Linked DNA regions of Macaca fascicularis. The main gene of each other region encodes a partner of the protein of the gene in region 2 in a complex. Links are inferred from orthologs where the notes say so. Each region holds a gene or a part of one and is shown on either strand. Other genes may lie near its edges.

Region 1 (5,202 bases), on a different chromosome or scaffold from region 2:
GTACCCTTTTGGCCATGTCGACTAGCAAATTTGTCTCCAATCTGTGGAATCCTAACAGAGCGTACCTAAATTCATATAAAAATAAGTTAAGTGGATCTGGTTTACTTTCTAAGACTAGCTACATGAACAAAGTTCATACAAAGTTCAATACTCACCCTTATTTTACAAAATTTATATCCTTCCTGGTTGAGAGTTACCATAACCTGATCCACAATGCCTGTCTCGCTAGTTCTGAGAAAAGTGCTACAGTCTCTCTTGGTATAGCGTCTATTAGTGCTCTCCAATTCATCTTCATTTTCAGGCAAGGTGACTGTTTTGCCTATAATAACATCATCTCCTGATACACGAACCCCTGGAGCTATCAAACCATCATCATCCAGTTTGTCATAAATGGCATGCCTCATGCCTGTGAGGAAATAGACATGGAATGTCACATAATCCCCAACAAAGATTAAAAACCACACACATGAATCAGTTCCAAGTCAGAGAGAAGGCCACAGGAATTTCTATACCATGAATCATACCCTTATTCCAAATATTACAAACTATTCTGAATTCTGTAATACCACAGTCCACACAGGAAAAAAAGGAAAAAAAAAAAGTCTATGAAGAAAAAGAACATTGGAATCAGCATTGGGAAAGCAGATTCTTCCATGACAGACATTTATCAAGTGACTCTGGATATGTTTTTTGCAATCTTCTGATTTCTATATTATAAGAGAAAGAATATCTCTGCTATCAGTGGGTACAGGAGAAAAAATTTTTTAATTAAAAAGAGAATATCTATGGATTCCCTCTGCACACATCCTCCCACAGAAATTGTGGATTTCATCTTAACTCAATCTTAACTCTAATGGACATCAATTCACTACTACACAGAACCACCCAATGGAAGGTGAGTAACAGGAAGATGGCAAAGGAAACAAAATACATTTTACTTCATGCAATGCTATTCACAGTCAAAACTGTAGCAGAAATGTTGCATTTTCCTGGAACAACCCAACCATCCCACTGCATAAGCAGTTTTTAAGTGTCTGTCAAAATAAATAACTAGAAAGTAAGTTTGAGTTTTCTACAAGAAACAACAAATGCTAGGTATCCTCTTTTCACTGGTTATTTTTTAAATGTTTACAAATAATGTGGCTGAACAAATATTATGATCACACCATAATTTGGAAAGGAAGAGGGGACAGGCGTGAAGTGTGTCCCCAGAAATTACATGACCTCTCTGATTTCCTAAACTGCCTCCTCAATGCAGGACCTACCAGGAAGGAAGGTCTGTAGCAAGCTCACTCGTAGGTGCAAAGACTTTTATGAAATACACATATTTTCTTAGATGTGAACTCTAAGAATAACATGAAAACACAGTTTCATTGCACAAAAAAAAGGGGAGGGGGATGGGGGCAGGCGCAGGCTGACACAACCCATCAAAATCACTTAGGAAAACCACAGTAAGTTAACTTTGGATTCCATCATTTAAATGTTAGCGTCACTTACCCTGGCATGTTTCACGTGTAGGCTTCTCAAAAACTTCTTCTTGATCAAATCCTTTTTTAGACTCCTGTTCTTTGTATGAGCGATAGAAAACAGACCTAAAACCACATGGTTCTAAAGGTAAAGTCTATTTTTTAACAAAAGGGCTGAGACTATACCAACAATTTCTCATTTACTTGAAATTCGGGAGACAATTTAAACTATGAATCTGGGACAAGAATAACTGCATTAAGGGTCGGAGTTAAACTCCAAATGTTATCACAAGTCATACATATGTAGCATCTGACCCATAACCTTAACCACCTAGAATTATATGTCAAAATAGAAAAGACCCAGGGTCAATGAGTCCAACCTCCTACACAATTTAAGAATCCATTACAAAATAACCCTGAAAGATGGTCACCTAGGTTCTACTCAAACACTTCCAGTGAGAAGTTTTTACATTGGCCGAGCATGGTGGCTCACGCCTGTAATCCTAGCACTTTGGGAGGCCAAGGTGGGTGGATCATCTGAAGTCAGGAGTTCGAGACCAGCCTGGCCAACATGGTCTGTGCTAAAAATACCAAAAAAAAAAAAAAGCTGGGTGTGGTGGTGCAAGCCTGTAATCCCAGGTACCTGGGAAAATGAGGCAGGAGAATCTCTTGAAACCTGGGAGGCGGAGATTGCAGTGAGCCAAGATTGCACCACTGCATTCCAGCCTTGGCAACAGCGAGTTCTGTCTCAAAAAAAAAAGAAGTTTTTACATTAAGCCATAATATGTATCCTCTGAGTTCTAGTGCTATCCTTTGAAACTACACAGAAAAAGGAAAATCCATTCCCCTCTACTAAATTCCCAGTTTTTAAAACAATCTTTATATGCCTTGAATTTGAGGTCTATTTGTCAATAGGACAATCAAGCTGAAGCATAATGGAAAAAAAGAGTGAAAAGAAAACACACCATAATTTTAACAGTAGTTATCTATGGATTCTAAGTTATTTTTATTTCTTCTTTAGACATTTCTATATTATCTAAATGTAAATGTATATTTCCTTACCAAAAGAAAGGCTCAAAATACTAGCATTTGAAATTCCTAAGAGATATAAGAAGTAGTATCTTCAGTTGTTTGTGACCATCAGCCAGGCCTTCTGCTTGCTGGAGTAGTGCGTAGCTAAACTATATTTTAAGAACTTTTTCTGAATAAAATATTAGTGTTTCCACTGTATCTGTGTTGTGACAAATTTACAAAATACAAACCTGAAGAAGCCACGGTCTACAGCTGAACGATTCATGATAACAGAGTCTTCCTGATTATATCCAGTGTATGATGCAATGGCCACAATTGAGTTGATGCCTGCAGTGAATTTAAAAAGCACATATTAAAAAAAAAAAAAAAAAAAGCATACATTAAAACATCACCCGGAAAACAGGAAAACTGCCCTTTCTTTAAATCAACTTTAATTAAATCATATTTGCCATAAATGCTTGGGTGTTTGTTGTCACGGTAACTGCCAAAGTCTATTCCTCCTAGAATAGCAATCTGTGAGGCAACTACTCTGATGGCTAAATATCTCACACAAGCAAATCCTAAGACTAGTCACTCCCAATGTATCCATTCTCATAATAAGTGATTATACATGTGAGTCACCTCCTACTTAGAAAGTGCCTCCCCAAACCAAGTTTCATGATCCTCACAGCAACTCTGTGCCATAAACAAAATAAGCATTATTATTCTCATGAATCAGAAGAGTGAATTAACAATCTACCCATGATCTCAAAATTAATAAGCAATAGGCTCAAGCCCTAGCTCCTTGTCTCCCGATTTCTGGTTTTAGGTTTGAAACTGGTACTACCCTATTTCCCTCTCCTTGTACCACCAAAAAATTATCATATCTTTCCTGCCACAATGAAATTCTTACTTGCTGCTGCCAAAACACTGTTTGATGAGCCCATAAAATAACTGGATATTCAACTCTCGCCTGTAATCCCAGCACTTTGGGAGGCCAAGGCAGGTGGATCACAAGGTCAAGAGATCAAGACCATCCTGGCCAACATGGTGAAACCCCATCTCAACTAAAAATACAGAAATTAGCTGGGCGTGGTGGCATGTGCCTGTAGTCCCAGCTACTCGGGAGGCTCACACAGGAGAATCCCTTAAACCCGGGAGGTGGAGGATGCAGTGAGCTGAGATCACACCACTGTACTCCAGCCTGGTAGCAGAGTGAGAATCTGTCTCGAAAATAAAATAAATAACATAACATAACATAACATAACATAACATAACATAACATATAAAATAACTTGATATTCTTAACCTGGATATCATCATGAGGAAAGAATAGTCAAACCTAAATTGAGACACAATGCAAAATAACTTTCCTGAACTCTTCACAAATGTCAAGGTCATGAAAGACAAGGAAAGACTAAGAAACTGTTCTAGATTAAGGAAACTAAAGAAACATGTAATTAAATGCAATCCACAATCCTAGATTAGCTCCTAGACCCACTAAAGACATCGTTAGGTTTGAATACAATAAAAACTGCTTTCTTTAAAAAAAAAAAAAAAAAAACATCATTAGGACAACTGGCAAAATTTGAATTGAGGACTGCTGACTATATGGATAGCAATGTTATCCTGATTTGATGGCTGCACTACAGAGAATGTCCTTGTCCTTAGGAAACACATACTGAAGAAGGAAACACATGCTTCACGCCTGCAACTTACTCTCATGTGGTTCAGGAGAAGTAATAAAAAGGGAGAGAATAATAGAGCAAATGTGGTAAAATGTCAAAAGTTTTTTTAAAGATGGTATGATGGATCGGCTGTAGTGGCTTACATCTGTAATCCTGGCACTTTGGGATGCTGAGGTGGGAAAATCACTTGAGCCCAGAAGTTTGAGACCAGCCTGGGCAACAAAGCAGACCCTATCTCTACAAAAAAAAAGAACTTCAAAATAAAGATGCCATGATGAAGTCAGGAATAACAGAACTGCAGTCCTGCCAGCCATGACTCTCCACTTACGCCAGTACCAAAGGAACATTTGCTTTCCAACCTAGTCCTTCAGTATATGTATTTTCTTCTCTAGCCATAAAGAAACTCTATTATCTAAATGTTGGAGAAAACACAGCACTGCAAGCACAGCCCAAAGATACGTGCATACTGTGTAGACAACCTAACAGATTTTGCTTTTCTAGACAAGAGGAACCCCTTGTGGAGGATTTTGAAAGTAAGTAATTTTAACCTATGAGAATTTCCTATCAAAATGTTAGAGCCCCATTACAGTACACTAAAGATGAACTTTACTAACAAATAACAAATGTTACTCACATTCAAAGCCAAAAGTCTGTTAATACAAAAGATAACAACAGTGCCAAAGAACTCTACCATCTCCTTTAATAGTCAACACTCATACCCTTCAGATTTCTCTTCGCCATTTTACCTACCATCCAGTCTCCCTGAGATTCCCCTCCTTACCAGCTAATTCTCAAATCTTCTCTCCTGATTTCTCTTCCTGGTGTCTAAAATTGTCTGCCTCTGGCCTTTTTCTCAATCTAAATTCTCCTTAGGCAATTTCATAGTAATCTATAATTATCATTAATAAATAAAAAATTTTACATCTCTAGACTTGACTTTCTTTCAAATCATGTTTGCAACTCACTGTTGTTGGAAGTTCACGTCTTAGTGTTCTGACACTAAGACACTAAATCAAAATCAACATATCCAAAACAGA
Region 2 (4,112 bases):
GGGAAGGTGGCATCAGTGAGCTTGTCCCCGGTAGCGCTTGCCCTGCCCCCTGCCGTCCTCATCAGCTTACCCGCTACTGGGTGTTGACTTGCCCGATGGCGGCTGGGGGGTCGACTTCCCGGACAGGCTCTGGGGCCCCGCGTCCAGCCGCAACCGCTTGGCTGCAGGCATCTCGCTCACCCGCTTCCCTGTGGGAGTGGGGTCAGGGCTGAGTCTTGGGGGCAGGAGGCCGAATCCCTGAGCAGGACCCCAGGCTGGGCAGTGCCAGGATGAGGGTTCAGGGGGATTGGGGACAGACAGGCCTCCACCCCCATCTCCATCTCCTCTCTGTCTTAAGCCCCAACAGAGGTCGGGAGGCCGTGGCTGTGGGAGTGGGGAGGCCACAGGCGCTCACCTTGCTCGAGCTTGCTGGCAGCCGCCCGCAGGGTGGAGGAGGTGCTGCCGCCCTCTGCGCTGGGCGTGCCTGGGCGGCTGTTGCCCCTCGAGCTCCCTCCCGACGGCTTCCGCTCTCTCTTGGGTGGCGTCTTCTTCTTCTGCGGAGGTCAGGGTGGGGTGAGGGGTGTGAGTCTGGAAACAGACGCCCAGGCCTCCCCTGTCACCGGGCTGGGCCTTACCGCCATGAAGAGGGCCGAGGAGGCCTCGCTGTCAATGTCGCTCTCCTCTGAGCTGTCCGACTCCTCGCTGCTGTCTGCGGGGCACAGGAAAGGGGTCAGGGCCAGAGCAACCCTGGGACCCGGCATCCACCGGTACCTCCACTGCAGATGAGGGAGGCCTGCAGGGGAGAGGGGAGGAGGCAGCAGAGCACCAGGCCCTGACCCGAGCCTCCAACATGGGCCACACCGGCCGCACCTTTCCTGCGCTTCTTCTCCTGCGGGGTGGGCGCCTTCTTCTCCTCCTCCTCCTCCTTGTCCTCCTCGGGTGGCTTCTCCTCCTCACTCTCCTCGCTACTGTCACTCTGCTCATCAACACCTGGGGGGACAGGGTATGAGCAAGAGCAGAGACGCACTGCCCGCATCTCCCCCCGCATCTCCCCGGGGCCCGCCCAGCCGCCGCCTACCCTTGGGCCCCTCCTCCTGCTGGGGCGGCTTGGCCTTGCTCTCAGGCTCGTCCTGGGAGCTGCTGTGAGACAGGGGCGGCAGAGGGTGAGTGCGCGCCCGCAAGGCCGCACGGGGTCTCGCAGCCGCCTCGCGTCGGCCTCACCTGGAGCCATCCGACATGTAGTCCACCTCCTGGCCCTCGAAGTCCCCATCGTCGCTGTCCTCGAAGGCCTCGTCGTCAGAGCCCTTCTTCTTCTTCTTCTTCCTGCCACCCTTGGCCAGCGGCACCTTCTTCTTGGCCTTGGGGGCTCTGCCGCCTGGGAAGGGAGGAAAGGAAGGAAAAGGAGGGGGAGGCAGTGGGTATTTTGTGCAGTTTTGACATCCTGGGGGCCTCACTGACTGGGGAGACTGCCCCACCAAGGCCAGCCCAGGAGCTCAGCTCTCCTAAACAAACTCCTGGTCCAGACCCCACACCCCAACCCACGTTCTCTAACGCTCACAGACCACTCCCCACTCCCAGACCACCCCAGGCGAGGCACCTGATAACCAGGGACAGCCCCTACAGCCCAGAGCGCACAGGAATTATTGAAACTGGCCAACCCAGAGTTGCAGTTTCTCATAGGAACCCCCGTAAAGACCTCAGCCAGGCCAGGCGCGGTGGCTCATGCCTGTCATCCCAGCACTTTGGCAGGCTGAGGCGGGAGGATGGCTTGAGCCCAGGAGTTTTCAGACCATCCTAGGCAACATAGTGAGTGAGACCCCAGTATCTACAAAAAATACAAAAATTAGGCCAGGTGCTGTGGCTCACACCTGTAATCGCAGCACTTTGGGAGGCCAAGACAGGCAGATTACCTGAGCTCGGGAGTTTAAGACCAGCCTGGCCAACATGGTGAAACCCCGTCTCTGCTAAAAACACAAAAATTAGCCAGGCGTGGTGGCGCATGCCTGTAATCCCAGCTACTTGGGAGGCTGAGGCAGGAGAATCACTTGAACCTGGGAGGCAGAGGTTGCAGTGAGCTGAGATCGCACCACTGAGTTCCAGCCTGGGCAACAGGGCAAGACTCTGTCTCCAAAAGAAAAAAACAAAAATTAGCCGGGCATGGTGGTGCATGCCTGTAGTCCTGTAGCTACTCAGGAGGCTGAGGTGGGAGGATTGCTTGACCCTGGGAGGTCAAGGCTGCAGTGAGCTGTGATTGTACCACTGCACTCCAGCCCTGGTGAGAGAGAGAGATCCTGTCTCAAGAAAAAAAAAGAAAGAAGGGCCACAGCTCAGTTCTCCCGGGCTCTGGCTTTGCCTCTTGACTGATATCACTGCTCCTCCAGGCAGCCTCGCCTGACTCTCATTTTTTTTTTTCTGAGACGGAGTCCCTCTCTGTCGCCCAGCCTGGAGTGCAGTGGCGTGATCTCGGCTCACTACAACCTCCATCTCCCAGGTTCAAGCGATTCTCCTGCATCAGCCTCCCGAGTAGCTGGAACTAGAGGCATGCACCACCATGCCCAGCTGATTTTTGTGTTTTCAGTAGAGACAGGGTCTCACTGTGTTGGCCAGGCTGGTCTCGAACTCCTGATCTCAGGTGATCTGCCTGCCTCAGCCTCTCAAAGTGCTGGACGACAGGCGTGAGCCACCGCACCTGGCCCCAGGTGCCTCGAATTCTAGGGCCACTGTGAGCGACGGTAGACTGTGCCTTCACTGGCACCGCCTGAGCAGGTACCTCTGTAGCCTAATGCCCGGGCCCCCGTGCTCACCCTCCTCACCGCTGGCGTCACTGGCATCAGACGACATCTCCAGGTCATCCTCCAGGTCGTGGATGCGTAGCTCGCTTGCCTTCCTGCGGCCGCGTTTCTCCTTCTCCTCCTCGTCCTCATCCTGGTCCTGATCCTTGAGCCGCCGCTGCTGCATGATGCTGAAGTGGTTCAGCACCTTGTTCCTCCTGGGGGCCAGGCACAGGGTGGCTCATGCTGGGCCTGGCACCACCCTGCCCCTGCGCTTGCAGGGGGCGAGCCCTCGGGCACCACCCACACAGCCTTCAATGTGATGTGGACCCCGGGGACTTGGGCTGTGGCCCAGGACTCCCTGAAACCACACGGATAGAACCGGCCCTTCCTACCTTCCCTTTCCGCCCCGAGTCCCTCAAAGACAGGGTCCCCACGTGCTGCTGGAGTCTCAGCACCTCCCTTGGACTCAGAGTCTGGCCCCAATGCAGTCACACTGGTTTCTTGCTATTTTTTTTTTTTTTTTTTTTTTTGAGACAGACTCTCGCTCTGTCGCCCAGGCTGGAGTGCAATGGTGCAATCTTGGCTCACTGCAACCTCCGCCTCCCAGGTTCACACCATTCTCCTGCCTCAGCCTCCTGAGTAGCCGGGACTACAGGCACACACCACCACGCCCAGCTAATTTTTGTAGTTTTCATAAGGACGAGGTTTCACCATGTTGTTCAGGCTGGTCTCAAACTCCTGACCTCAGGTGATCCACCTGCCTCGGCCTCCCAAAGTGCTGGGATTATAGGCATGAGCCACTGCACCTGGCCAGATCTCTTGTTATCTTAATTTATAGATGTCTTTTTCTTTAATGACAAAACCTACTGTTTCCACTGGAACAATGTAACGTTGTCTCATTGCTCATGGAAGCTTCGAAAAACAGGACTGCAGGCCGGGCTTGGTGCAGTGGCTCACGCCTATAATCGCAGAAATTTGGGAGGCCGAGGCAGGTGGATCACCTGAGGTCAGGAGTTTGAGACCAGCCTGAACAACATGGTGAAACCTCGCCCCTACGAAAACTACAAAAATAAGCCAGGCGTGGTGGTGGGTGCCTGTAGTCCCGGCTACTTGGGAGGCTGAGGCAGGAGAATTGCTTGAAGCTGGGAGGTGGAGGTTGCAGTGAGCTAAGATTGTACCACTGCACTCCAGCCTGGGTGACAGAGTAAGACTCTGTCTCCAAAAAACAAACAAACAAAAAAGACTGCATGTAATGAGAAGTGTTAGGAATACATGTAACACGGGCAAAGCCCAGGCTGGTGTGAAAGATAATGAAACTGCTGCATAACACTGTGAGCGGCTTTACCCCACTGAGCGGTG

Evidence for each region.
Region 1: GTF2F1 (region 2) and POLR2B share a complex: the UniProt entries of both Homo sapiens proteins name them as parts of the TBP-based Pol II pre-initiation complex. The link is inferred for Macaca fascicularis from reciprocal best matches to the Homo sapiens genes GTF2F1 and POLR2B.

The regions. Positions count from the first base shown.
Region 1 is NC_088379.1:76,855,403-76,860,604, forward strand, and holds part of POLR2B (DNA-directed RNA polymerase II subunit RPB2), read right to left. Parts: intron 2,826-5,202; coding exon 2,729-2,825; intron 1,593-2,728; coding exon 1,498-1,592; intron 407-1,497; coding exon 156-406; intron 66-155; coding exon 1-65. UniProt on the Homo sapiens protein: Catalytic core component of RNA polymerase II (Pol II), a DNA-dependent RNA polymerase which synthesizes mRNA precursors and many functional non-coding RNAs using the four ribonucleoside triphosphates as substrates.
Region 2 is NC_088393.1:7,160,197-7,164,308, forward strand, and holds part of GTF2F1 (general transcription factor IIF subunit 1), read right to left. Parts: intron 2,969-4,112; coding exon 2,784-2,968; intron 1,355-2,783; coding exon 1,201-1,354; intron 1,120-1,200; coding exon 1,058-1,119; intron 970-1,057; coding exon 850-969; intron 689-849; coding exon 615-688; intron 534-614; coding exon 395-533; intron 189-394; coding exon 71-188; intron 1-70. UniProt on the Homo sapiens protein: TFIIF is a general transcription initiation factor that binds to RNA polymerase II and helps to recruit it to the initiation complex in collaboration with TFIIB. It promotes transcription elongation.